Linked DNA regions of Pelodiscus sinensis. The protein of the gene in region 2 purifies or fractionates together with the protein of the main gene of each other region. This does not show direct contact. Links are inferred from orthologs where the notes say so. Each region holds a gene or a part of one and is shown on either strand. Other genes may lie near its edges.

Region 1 (7,848 bases), on a different chromosome or scaffold from region 2:
CTGACCCCCTCCCTGGGGCGTGGGTTGATGACATCAGCCGCGGGGAAACCCCCGCCAGTGACGTCTTGGCCCCTGGCTGCCCTGGTACATTCTGGGCATGCGTGCCGAGACGCAGCCTGTACCCAGCGGCGTCCCTGGGGCCCGTCTCCTCCTGCTGCCATGACATGCAGGGGAGTGCGGGGTGCCATGTGCTTCTCCGCAGTGGAGCCCGGCACCCCATCACACTTCCCTATAAGAGACTTTTTTCTTTTTCCCTCCCTTTATTGTCAACAAAGAGCCAGTCTAGATACTGCTGTTTCTTTTGTTGTCAGAACTGGCTTTCGCCAGTATCCCACAATGCCTGCCCTGATAGCTCTGCTCAGTGTTTTGATCTCTGCTGCCTTGCATGCATGCACCTGTCCATTTTCAAAGCTCAAGGAAATGTCTGGCTGCTGAGCACACTGCTCGGTTTGGGGAACAAACAAAGAGCAAATCATTGGACTACTGTTCTGCTCTGCACTAGGAGCACACAAGTAGAGGGATAGATCGTTGCACCGCTTTGACACTCCTCAGCACAGAGAGCTCTCAGAGTTACTCATGCTGCTGTTCTTCCCAAGGTGAGTGGTGCTGGGGGCTGCCCCGTATGCCTCAGCTGAAGCCAGCCCGTGGTGAGGCTGTCCCTACTGGGGCAGCCTCACCATGACCCTGGTTCCAGACAAGGCCGGCAGGGCTGCATAGTTGGTGGCTGCCTTGTGTCTTTTCCGTTGCAGGTGGCGCGTTTGGGACCAGGGAGCGGAGCCTTCGTAGCCATGAGCATCCCAGCCTTTATCAATATTACCAAGGAGAATCAGGTTAGAGCCCCCAGGAAGCCGCACTGGGTGTCCTTGATTTCTGTCCCTCGTCCAGCAGAGCTTGGCTTCCCCCATGGGGTCTCCCCTGCCAGCTCCAGCTAGGGTTACCAGATGGCTTAAAAAAAATAGTGGACACACTGATCTCAGATGGGGTGGGGGGGACCGGCCAGGAGGGGAACGGGGCTGGCCGGGAGGAGGTCCGGGGAGAGGGGAACTGGCTGGCGGGAAGCAGGGCTGGCCAGGAGGGGGTTGGAAAGAGTGAGGCTGGCCGGGGGAGAACCGGCCAGTGGGGAGCAGGGCTGGCCGGGAGGGGAAGCGGGGGGAGAGAACTGGCTGGCGGAGAATCGACTGACCCGGGCGCTGCCCGTCCTTCCCACGGTCTCGGCGAAGCACTAGTGAGTCCGGCCCCTGGGATTCCATCCTGCCTCAGTTCCGACCACTCCCCTCCTGCGCATGTAGTTGCGTATTGCCTGGCTGGTAGACACCCTCACACAGTGTGAGCGTGTTTACTAGCCAGGCAGTATGCAACTACATATTCAGAGGGGTAGCCGTGTTAGTCTGAATCTGCAAAAGCGATGAGGAGTCCTGTGGCACCTTATAGACTAACTGAAGTGTAGGAGCATAAGCTTTCGTGGGCAAAGACCCACTTCGTCAGATGCATGTAGTGGAAATTTCTACATGCATCTGACGAAGTGGGTCTTTGCCCACGAAAGCTTATGCTCCTACACTTCAGTTAGTCTATAAGGTGCCACAGGACTCCTCATCGCAACTACATATTGATACTCATAATAATAAAACTAACTTAATTAGAAAATACCAGACATTTATGTCTGGTATTTTCTTAATTTGTTTCCCGGACAGAACCCTCAAATACTGGACTGTCCAGGTCAAAACCAGACACCTGGCATCCCTAGCTCCAGCCTGCCCTACATACCACCATACCCACTTCCCAATGACCCAGGATGCTGCAGCTGCCAGCGCCGGTTGGAGTTGTGCGTGGGGAGCTGGGCTCCCTGACAAACCAGCAGGTGTCAGGAGGCTAGTAGTGCCCAGTTGCCAGGTGGGTGCCATGAGACAGAGATGCGCATGGGCTGTGTTACCTTGTGTCTGTAGGCCCTGACTGTTAACAGCCTGGGGAGGAACTCTCAAACCACCAGTAACATGCAACCGCCCCTGTCACTTGTGCCACAGACACAGCCAATCCTGTGCATGTGTTGGGGGATGGGCTGTTGCCAGGCCTGGCAGGGGTGGGTTCTCTTTTCGGACGCAGAAGAGTCGTTCACTGCAGGAGAGCTGTGCGGAGCTCAACTCCGCAACCTTAGAGTAGCTGTAACGGAGGCAGCAGTGCTCAGCTGTCAGCTGGGAGGCACTGCAGGGCTAGGTAGGGGGGCAGGGTAGGCACTGGAGGCTCTGGGGGTGGGTCTAGTGCTGGGGAGCTCTGAGGGTGGGTGCCTCTAAGAGGTGGGGAACTGGCACTGAGGAGCCCTGGGGGAGGGGCTAGTAGTAGCGGGGCTTTGGGGGCAAGGCTGGCACTGGGGGGTTCTGGGAATAGGGCTAATATTGGGAACTGGGGGAAGCTCTGGGGGAGTTGGTTTCAGTGGGGCTCTGGAAACAGGAGGCTGGCACTGGGGGCCTGGTGGGGGTGCTCTAATGGGTGGGGGCTGGCACTGGGGGGCTCTGAGAGCAGGAGGCTGACTGGCACTGGGGAGCATTGGGTGCTGGGGTCAGTAGCTGGTGCTGGGGAGTAGTAGAGGGCTGGGGGGCTCTAGGGGTCAGGGCTGGCACTGGGGGACTTTGTAGGCCGGGGCTTTTGGTGGACCAGTAACATTTTATTTGTATATTTGCAACCATTGATGTAAGACATACCCTAAACGCCTGATCCTCACATTTTCAAGGCTCTACATCAGGCCTGCACAACATTTGGCCCACAGGGACTCACTGTGCAGCCGATGACCAGGGCCGGATTAAGGGGCAAGCTAGCCGGGCAGGTGCCTGGGGCGCCAACCTATGGAGGTGCTAAAATACCCCAGCACCCAGAGTCACTCCGCCATGCGGCGTGTGCCTGCTGCACTGCTGCATGAACGGGACTCCCAATCCCGGGTCTCCCCTGCTTGCCGCGGGGGGCAGAGAGGCTGGGAGTGCATTGGGGCTAGGTTTTAGTGTGTTTCTGGGGGCATCCAATGCCACGACTAGTAGGGTCAGGGTTAGTCTGAGCAGCTGTGGGTACAGCAAATTATTTAGGCTAATCTAAATATGGCACACACAGGAGTGGGGATACACTTTTGTTTGGGAGTGGAAGGGCTGGTCTGAACATTAGCTCTTCATATAAGTAACAAAAGGCTTTGAGAACTGGCTCAGTGGGAGCAAAGAGGAATGAAGCAGAAATTGGCTATTCTGGTGCAAACTTGCACAAGAGAGCCCTAGGGCAAAGGCTTGTCTCCAGCTCACTGGTGACTAACCTCCATAGACACTTTCTGCAAGTCTCACTGGTTACATGGTGGAACTGGGAGCATTTCAGAAAACCCTATGGCTATGTCTACACTGGTGCGTTCTCACACAAAAACTCTTTCGTGAAAGAGTTCTTCTGCAAAAATGCTTTTGCTACGTCTAGACTGGCATGATTTTCCGCAAATGCTTTTCCGCAAGAGCGTCTAGATTGGCAAGGACGCTTTTCCGCAAAAACAGCTGCACAAAAGGTCTTATTCCTGAGCGGGTGCGTCAGAGCTCTGGCGCAGGAAGCCCTGATTTCACACATTAAAACGCCAGTTTACTTGCGCAAGAACTTGCACCCAGTGTAGACAGGCAGCAAGTTTTTGCGCGAGATCGTGCCGTGTAGACACAGCCCGCCATTGAGGTCCTGGGTTTCAGTCTCTTTCCAAGCAGCTTAAATGTGGCCTCCAGGACCTTGCTGTTCCTTGCCTAGGCCGTGATGTCACACGCCATTACATAATTTGGGAAGGCTTTGAGGCCACGCTGCGGGGGGCTTTGTGCCGCCTGCTGGCTCCAGCCCCGTCACCCAGCGGGCTCCAGACTCCGCAGCTGGCCCCGAGTCCGGTAGCAAAGGAAGCCTGCGGTTCTAGGCCTTATCGCGAGCGCGTGGCCAATAACTGACAAGCTTACACAGCTGGCCAATCGCTGAGACTCTTACATCCAGCCCCTCCCCGCCCCTGTCTAGCTGATCCTTCCGGGCTGCCGTAGCGAGTGACGCCGGCTGGATACTGATGCTCTGATTGGGCGGCGCTGGCGGGAGGGCCTGAGAAGGCAGAGGTGGCGCGCGGGGTAACGGATCCTCCTGCCTCCCCGCGGGGCGCTGCGCTGCCCCGGTCGGGGCCGCCCGAGGTCGGTGCGGGCCGGAACCGAGCGCGCAGGCACGTCGGGCACCGAGCAAAGCTCCTCTCGCCGGGCCCGCGTCCCGCCGTGCCGGGGGGAGCCGCTGTAGGCGCGCCCTAGTGGGGGGCCTTGAGTCCAGCGCCCCGGGCCTGTGGGGGCGTCGGGCCGGCCTGTGTCTCTGTGGCGCGCCTCGCGTCGGAGCGGCTCCGCCGGGTCATGCAGCGGCCGGAGGCCGGGTTTGCTCCGCGCCCTGGGCGCGAGTAGAAGCGGCGCGTGTGTGCTGACCGGTGGCTTGTGGATTTCTCCCCGCGTGGCGCTTTACCTGCGCGCGGGGCTTTGTGTAGCCCAGCTGAGCGGAGCCGTGCGCCTCCCTGCCCCGCAGCCGGACTAAGGCGGCCACCCCCCTGGAACACTTTAACCTCGCGAGCCGCCTGCTCCCTCACACCTCCCCTTTTCTCCTCCTCCCCCCTCCGTTCAGGGGCTGGTGCTGGCTCCTTCCTGGAATGGATCTGCCGCATGGGTCTGCCTTAGCTGCCGCTGCCCTGTCCCACTACCAGCGATTGTGATCAACCGGGAGACCCCAGGATCAACAAGCTGATGGCACTCAACTAGTTGGTGGCCACTGGTGTATGGGTACTTGCTTACTTTCTTGACAGTTGCCCCCTTTGAATTCATCTGTGGTGTCTTGTAATCTGTAAGATCAGAGTAATAAACACATTGTTGCTTTTCTAACCGAGAGGGAATAAAATAAAATTGTAATGATGTTATCAGAATTTTTGCTGTTATAAATGTTAGCAATTTTGACAGTGCTGTAGACCAGTGATCTCCAGCCTTTTTAAGCACAAGATTACTTTTTTGAATTTAAGTGTAATCCAGGATCTATCTCAAACCCAAATACCCTTGCCCTGCCTCCTTCTCCAGGGCTCTGCCCACTTCATCTTCCCTCCCTCCATCCTTCCTCCTTTTCAACAGGTACAGGCAGAGGGTTGGGGTTCAGGCTCTGATCTTGGCTTGAGAGATTTGAAATGTTAAGTGATTTGAAGTTGCTCTGAGCTGAGCCTGGGGCACAGAGATGAGGGTGCAGCAGGTGGTTCTGGGTACAGACTCTGTAAGGGAGTTTGGGTCTAGGAGGGCTTGGGGCTAGAGCAGGGGCTTGACGTGCAAGAGGGAGTCTATGACTGGGACGGGTTCAGGATGCAAGCTCCAGTTGGACACTCACAAGTGATGCAGTGAGGCTAAGGCAGGTTCACCCCTGCCCTGGCCCTGCACCACTCTCAAAAGCAGCCAGCAAACCCCATCCCAAGTCCTGTTGTGCCCCCCCCCCCTCCATTCTGTGGAGTTAGAATACAGGGTAGGAGTGGGGGCACCCTGACATCAGTGCCCCTTCTCTGCCCTGCTCAGCAAGGGGTGGGGGAGAAACAAGGGCAAGAGGTGCGTGGCAGTGGGAGGAGGGGCAGCTGAAGTGCCAGCATCTGATAGCTTCTTGGCTAAACCAGTAAAGATCACCTGTCAGGCTCCAAGATCTACCAGTAGATCCCGATCTACTGGTTGGTGACCAGTCCTCTAGACTCTAATACAACTTCAAAAAATGTTTTCCCCTTTTTAAGTGTACTCTAACAGTTTTAGGTTTGTGTGACTTAAACAAGGAGATCCTAGAATCTGAGATCATAATGTGTGCTTCTCTTGGAAAACATGAAATACATAATTTCAAGGCATGTATTCTTATGTAGGGATGGAAAGAACACGGGCACATCTCCTTTTTTGTCCTCCTCTAGAACAGTTTTTGAAAAGGTATTTTGTAGGGATGTCACCGTGTAAACGACTATACATTTAACTGATAAGCCTGGGCTTATTGGTTAATCCTGTCAACTGCAGGCATTCTGGGGCAGGCAGGAGCCAGCTTCCCCTGAGCACTGCTCCACGGAGCTGCCTGTGCCCTTCCCCCCCCCACCCCACTGCTGCCTGTATGTGGCAGTAGGACAGGGTAGGCTGCCGCGAGCGCACTGGCTGCTGGTCCCACCCCTGGAGACTATTGAATAGTTGTTTAACTGCTGAAACTTGATGTTTTAACATGACTATTCAGTTACACGCTATCTAACATCACTAGCGTTTTGCCCTTTCAATTCATAGATCTGCTCCTCTTGGAGTCCTGTTGTTATATTTCTATGGTCTTAAATAATATTCTGTAGAATGACATTTTTCTCATGGCTGTAAAAAAACCTACAGTTGTTTCTTTCATTCTTTTCTGTTACCACGAAGCTTTGATTTAAATGATCCAAAGCCCGTTTGAAATGGATAGGAAGCTCTGGAGTTCACATGTCCTCTTTTCCAGTCAGTTAGTGAGGGAGTGCATTAGAGACTCTTGAACCCTGATCATTGTGTGCTAGCACATGTTTCTTCAGAGGTTCAATTGTTTGTATTTTGTAGAATATATTTGATTTGGAAAAAGATTCTTTGAGGATTAAAATGCTTTATTTTGTTTCACAGGTTAAATTTTTCTGCACAATGTCGATAAACTCATTATTTGCGAATAAGAAGAGAAATAGCTCCATATTATATGGTGTGGACCAGGCACAGAGTATGGCTTCATCTTCTGTTTATCGAGAATCCACTAGTCGAGGATGTATTGGGAACCATGGAGATGGCTTTCCACCAAACAAGCGTTACAAAGGTTTTGAGTCCAAGTCCAAACAAACAGAACATTATTTTGGAGACAATGATGACTTTACAGCTGATGACTTGGAAGAAATAGACATAATTGCCTCACAGGCTTTATCACAAGATCTAGATTCAAATAGCATCCAGAAACCCGAGCAGAATTCCAGACCGTTGTTATCTCCGAGTAACGCTAATCAAAAGTCTGTGAATATTGAACTATGGAGTGTTCCCTCTAGTGCTGAAAAAAGAAGGAAAGACCAGTTCGGTATGTGTATTCTGGAATAGGGGAGTATAGCTGGGGATTTGAATGGCTTAGTGCCTCCTTATGCTCCAGATCTGAGGTTTGAAATGCTAAACTTCCTAGAAAAATGTATAAAATAATTAACTTTTTTGACTAGATTATCTAAGCTCAACCCAAAAGTAAATTTCATTGTTGCTGAAATGTTCACTTAGGTTCTTGACGCTATCTTGAATTACTAGGATTATTTGAAAAAATGTTTTAATTATCAGGCAAATCTTAGCTTCTGGATAACTTAACCATCAACATTCAGAGTTGGTATGTACATCTGACAACATGTCTTAAAGAACAAGTTATAGAATTTGCCATATAGTATAACTACGTGTCATAAAATAGCATTAAGTAAGAAGTAGCCAGAAGTTGTGCTCCAAGTATATGAAAGTGATCATTTGGAAAGATCATACTTTGAAATGACAGTAATCTATCTTTTTTTACGTGTGTGGTGCCTTATCTTAAGAATGTAAACTAATTAGCAAGCTTTAACTTAGTGTCACAATGCCTTTGAATCGCATGCAGATGATTAAACTGAGGCACAATGAAGTGAAGTAGCTTGCTTGAGGACAAGCTGTGGGCAGAAATGGAATTAGAAAGCAGGAGATCTGGCTTCCCAGACATCAATTCTAACTACTAGGCTACATATGTGGTTGTGTAATATCTGTCATACTTATAAGTGACTTTTAAACTTCCCCTTAGGAGAGAAGGGAAGGTGACCTGTTCATAATATCATATAAC
Region 2 (7,737 bases):
CAGAGTGCTTCGTGGGCACGAGGAGCCGGCTCTTGCTGAGAAACCTGCGTGTCTGGGTTCCATGTTGATGCAAGTTGGGGGGATGTGCATTCTGTTCCTCACTGCAGCTGCAGTGCAGAGTGTGCAGCTGAGTGTGCTGTTGGTCAGCTTCTGCCTCCCCCAGGGGCTGCACACTTGGAAGGGCAGAATTTTAGTACCAGGAGCGCTGACTCCTTTGAAGGCCCAGCTGCCACACTAGCCACTAAGAAACACTCCCAGTGAGGCCACAGCAATTCAAAGCAGTCCTATAACCACACACAGCCCTACTTCTTGCCAGCCCTCCCCCCATCTTAACTCTCTTCCCTTGAGCTAGGATTGCACTTGGACTGCATGTTCCTCAGGGCAGAGTCCATGTCTTATCAGCTGGAGCCAACAAGTAGTGCCTAAATCCAACACAATTAAAGGAACAACCTACATTTATTATTATTTTTTTTAATCCCATTTTCCTGGGGTTTTAATACAATTCTCATCTATTGCCCAGTGAAAAAGAAACATGCAGACACACTCACCTTCTGACATAACCAGCTGCCCGAGCCACCAACCCCCACTTGCTGCACACAGGAGCCATTGCCCACTCATCTGTCACGGGGCTGTCTGGGGGTGCTAAACTAACATGTAAAGAAGGTGCCTTTTCTAAGTTTGCCATGATTTTGCAGTAACAGAGGCAGGGCTGAGAGCTCACTCATCCTGTGCCTCACCCAATGCTTTCTGCCTGCGCCTCAAGGCAGGGTTGGCCTCAACACAATCCCATCAGTGGGCTGACAAAAATCAACTTCATGAATGCCAGGAGAGCCAGTCATGTGCTGCCCCAGAAGCCCTGGGTCTGTTCACATCTTGCAGCTCGTTTAAAGAGACGTGAGCAAGCCAAGTTTAGTTTGGAAGTCAAGTAGAAACCAAGCTATGGCAAATCTTCCCTTGGAAGGAGGAACGCTTCCTCCAGACCTAGCAAAATCAGGCAGGCACAGAAAACTCATGAGGGCTGTTACCTTGGGTGGCGGCGGCAGCAGCAGCAATTCTGCAGTGCATTAGCAGCAGCAGGAACCTCAAGGCATCCATCTGAACTGGAATGGGGAGCTCTGACAGCTGCTGACTAATTGCCACTTTGCTGTTGAGAAGAGCCAATCCCAGGCAGCTGTCACCTCACCTGACTTCCTGGCAATGTGTGAAATGGGAGCACTTCTAGCTTGCCTTAAGAAAGATTCTCAGCCCATGGAGGGTCCCTTGCAGCCCAATCTGGGCACCGCTGCTGCTGGAGCCGGTGGCATTCTCCAGGGAGGCTGGTTTTGTTGGTTAAGCCAGCAAAAATAAGGTACAGGGCAGGAGTGAATTCCCTACTGGGGTCTGAATATTTAGATTACCTCAAATATCTACTGGCAGGTTTTAGGTGGCCTGTTGCTCACCACCCAGCCAGACTCAGGGTGCCTAGTGCCTCACTTCCCTCCCTCACCAGCACTTTGGTTGCTGTTCTCAGAATCTGTTCTACTTTCTTGGTACCTTTCCGGGGGCAAGTGCCTGGAACAGGATGCAGAGACCAGTCCCTTACACAAAGGACATCTCACCTCTTGCTCCATCACAGGACTCTTGTGCAGGTGCCAACTGAAATCACAGGGGCCTTCTCACTACCACATCCCATTACTAAGTCCTGCCTAACTCACTGCATTCCCAGCCCAGGTCTCACATCTAGCCCTACTTCCCAGCTTCTTCCCAGCTGCCTGAAATACTTCCCCTACCCCCGTACTGATGGGCTGCATTATCCCAAGTGGCGAGAAACGAATCAGCCAGCAACCCTGCCATGCCCACCACAGTGAGTAGTGGAGGGTCACCCATCAGCTGCCTCAGCAGCATCCCCAAAAGCCCCTGCGAATGGCGTAGAGAATGTCAGCGACCGGCGGCACCGCCGTGCTACACCCCTCCGAACGTGCCCTTACGTGTCCAAGCAGCTCCTGCCTCCACCCGCCCGCGGCGGCCGCGGGAAGGGGGGGGGCGGTAGGGCCGCGGGAAGTGGGGGGGGGGCGGTAGGGCCGCGGGAAGTGGGGGGGCGGTAGGGCCGCGGGAAGTGGGGGGGGGGCGGGGCGGTAGGGCCGCGGGAAGTGGGGGGGGGCGGTAAGGCCGCGGGAAGGGGGGGGGGGCGGTAAGGCCGCGGGAAGTGGGGGGGGGCGGTAGGGCCGCGGGAAGTGGGGGGGGGCGGTAGGGCCGCGGGAAGTGGGGGGGGGCGGTAGGGCCGCGGGAAGTGGGGGGGGCGGGGCGGTAAGGCCGCGGGAAGTGGGGGGGGCGCGGGGCGGTAAGGCCGCGGGAAGTGGGGGGGGGGCGGGGCGGTAAGGCCGCGGGAAGTGGGGGGGGGCGGGGCGGTAAGGCCGCGGGAAGTGGGGGGGGGCGGTAAGGCCGCGGGAAGTGGGGGGGGGCGGTAAGGCCGCGGGAAGTGGGGGGGGGCGGTAAGGCCGCGGGAAGGGGGGGGGCGGTAGGGCCGCGGGAAGGGGGGGGCGGTAGGGCCGCGGGAAGGGGGGGGGGCGGTAGGGCCGCGGGAAGGGGGGGGGCGGTAGGGCCGCGGGAAGGGGGGGGGCGGTAAGGCCGCGGGAAGTGGGGGGGGGCGGTAAGGCCGCGGGAAGTGGGGGGGGGCGGTAAGGCCGCGGGAAGTGGGGGGGGGCGGTAAGGCCGCGGGAAGTGGGGGGGGGCGGTAAGGCCGCGGGAAGTGGGGGGGGGCGGTAAGGCCGCGGGAAGGGGGGGGGCGGTAGGGCCGCGGGAAGGGGGGGGGCGGTAGGGCCGCGGGAAGGGGGGGGGGCGGTAGGGCCGCGGGAAGGGGGGGGGGCGGTAGGGCCGCGGGAAGGGGGGGGGCGGTAGGGCCGCGGGAAGGGGGGGGGCGGTAGGGCCGCGGGAAGGGGGGGGGGCGGTAGGGCCGCGGGAAGGGGGGGGGGCGGTAGGGCCGCGGGAAGGGGGGGGGGCGGTAGGGCCGCGGGAAGGGGGGGGGGCGGTAAGGCCGCGGGAAGGGGGGGGGGCGGTAAGGCCGCGGGAAGGGGGGGGGGCGGTAAGGCCGCGGGAAGGGGGGGGGCGGTAAGGCCGCGGGAAGGGGGGGGGGCGGTAAGGCCGCGGGAAGGGGGGGGGCGGTAAGGCCGCGGGAAGGGGGGGGGGGCGGTAAGGCCGCGGGAAGGGGGGGGGGCGGTAAGGCCGCGGGAAGGGGGGGGGGCGGTAAGGCCGCGGGAAGGGGGGGGGCGGTAAGGCCGCGGGAAGGGGGGGGGCGGTAAGGCTGCGGGAAGGGGGGGGCGGTAAGGCCGCGGGAAGGGGGGGGGCGGTAAGGCCGCGGGAAGGGGGGGGGCGGTAAGGCCGCGGGAAGGGGGGGGGCGGTAAGGCCGCGGGAAGGGGGGGGCGGTAGGGCCGCGGGAAGGGGGGGGCGGTAGGGCCGCGGGAAGGGGGGGGGCGGTAGGGCCGCGGGAAGGGGGGGGGGCGGTAGGGCCGCGGGAAGGGGGGGGCCGTAGGGCCGGGGGCGGTAAGGCCGCGGGAAGGGGGGGGGGCGGTAGGGCCGCGGGAAGGGGGGGGGGCGGTAGGGCCGGGGGCGGTAAGGCCGCGGGAAGGGGGGGGGGCGGTAGGGCCGCGGGAAGGGGGGGGGCGGTAAGGCCGCGGGAAGGGGGGGGGGCGGTAAGGCCGCGGGAAGGGGGGGGGGCGGTAAGGCCGCGGGAAGGGGGGGGGGGTAAGGCCGCGGGAAGGGGGGGGGGCGGTAAGGCCGCGGGAAGGGGGGGGGGCGGTAAGGCCGCGGGAAGGGGGGGGGGCGGTAAGGCCGCGGGAAGGGGGGAGGCGGTAAGGCCGCGGGAAGGGGGGGGGGCGGTAAGGCCGCGGGAAGGGGGGGGGGCGGTAAGGCCGCGGGAAGGGGGGGGGGGCGGTAAGGCCGCGGGAAGGGGGGGGGGCGGTAAGGCCGCGGGAAGGGGGGGGGGGCGGTAAGGCCGCGGGAAGGGGGGGGGCGGTAAGGCCGCGGGAAGGGGGGGGGGCGGTAAGGCCGCGGGAAGGGGGGGGGCGGTAGGGCCGCGGGAAGGGGGGGGCGGTAGGGCCGCGGGAAGGGGGGGGCGGTAGGGCCGCGGGAAGGGGGGGGCGGTAGGGCCGCGGGAAGGGGGGGGCGGTAGGGCCGCGGGAAGGGGGGGGGCGGTAGGGCCGCGGGAAGGGGGGGGGCGGTAGGGCCGGGGGCGGTAAGGCCGCGGGAAGGGGGGGGGGCGGTAAGGCCGCGGGAAGTGGGGGGGGGCGGTAAGGCCGCGGGAAGTGGGGGGGGGCGGTAAGGCCGCGTCTGCAGCCACGTTCCTCGCAAACCGCGACTCCCCTTTTGGCGCGCGCCGCTTCCCCTGCTCCGGGAGCGAGACCCGGGCGTGGCCTGGAGCGCCCCTCGGTCTCCCGCACCCCGGAGACTGGCCGCGCCCGGGACAAACGGCTCTTGGGCCTGGGCGGCCGGAGCCTCCCACGTTCACTCGCGGCGGCGCGTCGGGGGGCCGGGCCCCGATCCCTGGGGGCTGGCGCCGGGGGACCCAGGCGAGCGGGACGCGGGGCCGAGCCCGGCTCAGTAGCTGCCCCAGCCCCGCGCACGAGGCGTTAACCCAGGAGCCTAACGACGGCACGTGCCGCAGCGCTGGGAGGAGCGTGTCTGACTGACCTCAGGGGGCGGCGCCAATAGCAAAGATGGCGTCGGCGGCGCTTCCGTCCGCGGGTCGGAGGCCACCGGAAGGAGATGGTGGCGCCGCCCCTCGCCATGCGGGAGCCGATTGGCTGGAGCGCCGCGGGCTCGCCGATTGGGCGGTTATTTGAGGCGCGACGGAGCCGAGCGTCTGTTGGAGCGTCCGCAGCCGCCGCCATGTGGAGCGGTCACGGTAGGGGGGCAGGGTGTTGGGGGAGGGGCTGGGGGGGGGCTGGCAGGGTGTTGGGGGAGGGGCTGGGGCGATGGGGGGGCTGGCAGGGTGTTGGGGGAGGGGCTGGGGGGGCTGGCAGGGTGTTGGGGGAGGGGCTGGGGGGGCTGGCAGGGTGTTGGGGGGGGCTGGGGCGATGGGGGGGATGGCAGGGTGTTGGGGGAGGGGCTGGGGGGGATGGCAGGGTGTTGGGGGAGGGGCTGGGGCGATGGGGGGGATGGCAGGGTGTTGGGGGAGGGGCTGGGGGGATGGCAGGGTGTTGGGGGAGGGGCTGGGGGGATGGCAGGGTGTTGGGGGAGGGGCTGGGGGGAGGTGGCAGGGTGTTGGGGGAGGGGCTGGGGGGGCTGGCAGGGTGTTGGGGGAGGGGCTGGGGGGGCTGGCAGGGTGTTGGGGGAGGGGCTGGGGCGATGGGGGGGATGGCAGGGTGTTGGGGGAGGGGCTGGGGGGGATGGCAGGGTGTTGGGGGAGGGGCTGGGGCGATGGGGGGGATGGCAGGGTGTTGGGGGAGGGGCTGGGGCGATGGCAGGGTGTTGGGGGAGGGGCTGGGGGGATGGCAGGGTGTTGGGGGAGGGGCTGGGGGGATGGCAGGGTGTTGGGGGAGGGGCTGGGGGGGTGGCAGGGTGTTGGGGGAGGGGCTGGGGCGATGGGGGGGGTGGCAGGGTGTTGGGGGAGGGGCTGGGGCGATGAGGCATGTGTCTCACCTTGTGAGACGCTATAGGTTGCTGAGGCCAGGTCGCTGACCCTATGGCATTGCCCCTTTCTGTGACCTGGCGTCCCCATGAGCTTAGCGTTCTGGTGCCTTCTTTGAACTTTGGTGGGGTTTGGACTTGAGTGCAGGTTAAAAATGCAGGCTGCTGGGGAGTAAGACTTACAGGTGGGGAGAATGTAAGTTTGGCTGTTTGAATTAAGTGAATATGTGAGAGTCTCAGCTTTCCCTCTACTGGATACGGCTGCTGGAAAACACCTGAGTGACCCAAAGAGCTCAGTAATATAATGTACATTTTGGGTGGTATTTACTATACTTTATTTTGTCTAATTGTAAGCTAATTGCACGACTATTTGGTATAACTTGTGATTTTTGAACACTTGGGATTGGCAACAATGTATTAGTAACTGTGATTCTTTCCCCCCTACCCTAGGTGGCTTTGACGGTGGCTATGGTGGGTCTTCAATTAGTGGTGGATACACACAGTCCCCAGGGGGGTTTGGCTCTCCAGCAGCCACCCAGGGAGAAAAGAAACAGGTATGTAGTGGAAGGGTTTTAAAGAATGGGAGAACTGGGTGCCTGGTCACACTAGGGAGGTTCCCATGAGAGTTTTGATCTTTATGTTGCTGTCATGAGAAGGATTATCTATACCTCTCCCAGCAGAGAACAAATTGTACGGTATTAGGGATAAGAGAGAAGCTTCAATATAACATTGAATTGGGAAGCAGTGATGGGAGGAGTACAGTGGCCTAGGAGCTAGGTTTTGGCCTTGGTCCTTCCCTCAATGTGTTTTATGACCTTTGGCAAGTAACTTATACTGTATTTTGACTTCCCTTCTCAGAATAGATATTTATTCACAGAATGTTGTGTCTTAATTAAATGTTGCAGTTGTAATTCATTTTATGGCTACTTAACCTGGTTACACCAAACATGGCTGAGCTCTGCATTTTTTTCCTCCGCATCAGAAGAATGTGTAAAATATTCCTTTGTCTGTCATGTTGCCTACTGTGTTTGTATCAGGGAAAATTGGGCAAACTATCCTAAATGTTCTCAGCAGGGGAATAATGGAGCATGAAGGACATGCACCTGGACGGATAGTAAGAGTGCATAGGGTAAGCTGTAAGGAAGGTGGAAGACAGGCCATCCCTGTGACACAAACTTATTCAGGCGTTTCCTTCTACATAGTGAAAAACAAAGCCAACATACCTTGTGGAGGAAAACGGCTGTGTGCCAGCCTAGGCCACTGGAAAGCATGACTGACTGTTGTGATTCTAAAGAGTACCAGTTGTGAGTGAACTCAAACCATGGTTAGAGCTGTCTCTGGGACTAACTGGTCACAGATTCAGTTACAATAATGCTGACACAGCCTCAGTGTTTGTAAATCTCTTTGAACATCTCAATCACAACATGAATCAGTAATGTGATATTGTTTCAAAAAAAAAAAAAAAAGCAAATACAATTTTAGGCTGCATTAACAGATGCATAGGAGGCAAGTCACAGGTAGTGATAGTACTGCTCTGTTTGATGCTGATTGAGCCTCAGCTGGAGTACTGTGCCCAGTTTTGGTCACCAATGTATAGAAAGGCTGCAGAAAAAAGATGATCAAAGGGATGGAATGCAAGGCTGTAGGAACTGGGTATGTTTAGTTTGGGGGGAAAAAAGAGACTGAGGGGGAACATGATACCAGACTTCAAATATTTGAAAGACTGCCATAAAAAGATGGAAAACAGTTTTCTCTTGCCACAAAAGTCAGGACAAAGGGTAGTGGGCCCAAGCTGCAGTGGAGCAGATTCAGATTAAATCACAGGAAAAACTTGGGATAGGGGTTTTCCTCTGTCGCCCCTGCTTCCTCCCAGCCCAGGAGCCGTAGCCTGGGCAGCAATCACCCTCTAGCACAGTGGTTCTCAAACTTTTTGGTCCGTGGACCACCTGGCTCAAGGCAAACCTTTCCACCGACCACCAGTTGTTAATGGAAACTCTCTGTTAACTACATCCGAGCCATTTTGCTAGTGCTGCAGCCAGGGAAAATGGTTTAATTTAAATTATTAAACAAATTAAGCATTTTAACTTTCTCATGTTAGTTTATCAAACTTTATTTTAAATAAAGTAAAATAT

The links. Proteins that work in one complex are often made in the same cells at the same time.
Region 1: the proteins of RPA2 (region 2) and ATRIP purify together in Homo sapiens (affinity purification with western blotting; 5 studies listed by BioGRID, with this or other methods). This does not show direct contact. The link is inferred for Pelodiscus sinensis from reciprocal best matches to the Homo sapiens genes RPA2 and ATRIP.

What each region holds. Positions count from the first base shown.
Region 1 is NC_134721.1:39,614,229-39,622,076, forward strand, and holds the start of ATRIP (ATR-interacting protein), read left to right. Parts: upstream 1-4,838; 5' UTR 4,839-6,626; coding exon 6,627-7,083; intron 7,084-7,848. UniProt on the Homo sapiens protein: Required for checkpoint signaling after DNA damage. Required for ATR expression, possibly by stabilizing the protein.
Region 2 is NC_134735.1:22,902,139-22,909,875, reverse strand, and holds the start of RPA2 (replication protein A 32 kDa subunit), read left to right. Parts: upstream 1-4,724; 5' UTR 4,725-4,741; coding exon 4,742-4,880; intron 4,881-6,055; coding exon 6,056-6,159; intron 6,160-7,737. Other genes in the region: SMPDL3B (acid sphingomyelinase-like phosphodiesterase 3b), read right to left, coding at 1,026-1,095. UniProt on the Homo sapiens protein: As part of the heterotrimeric replication protein A complex (RPA/RP-A), binds and stabilizes single-stranded DNA intermediates that form during DNA replication or upon DNA stress.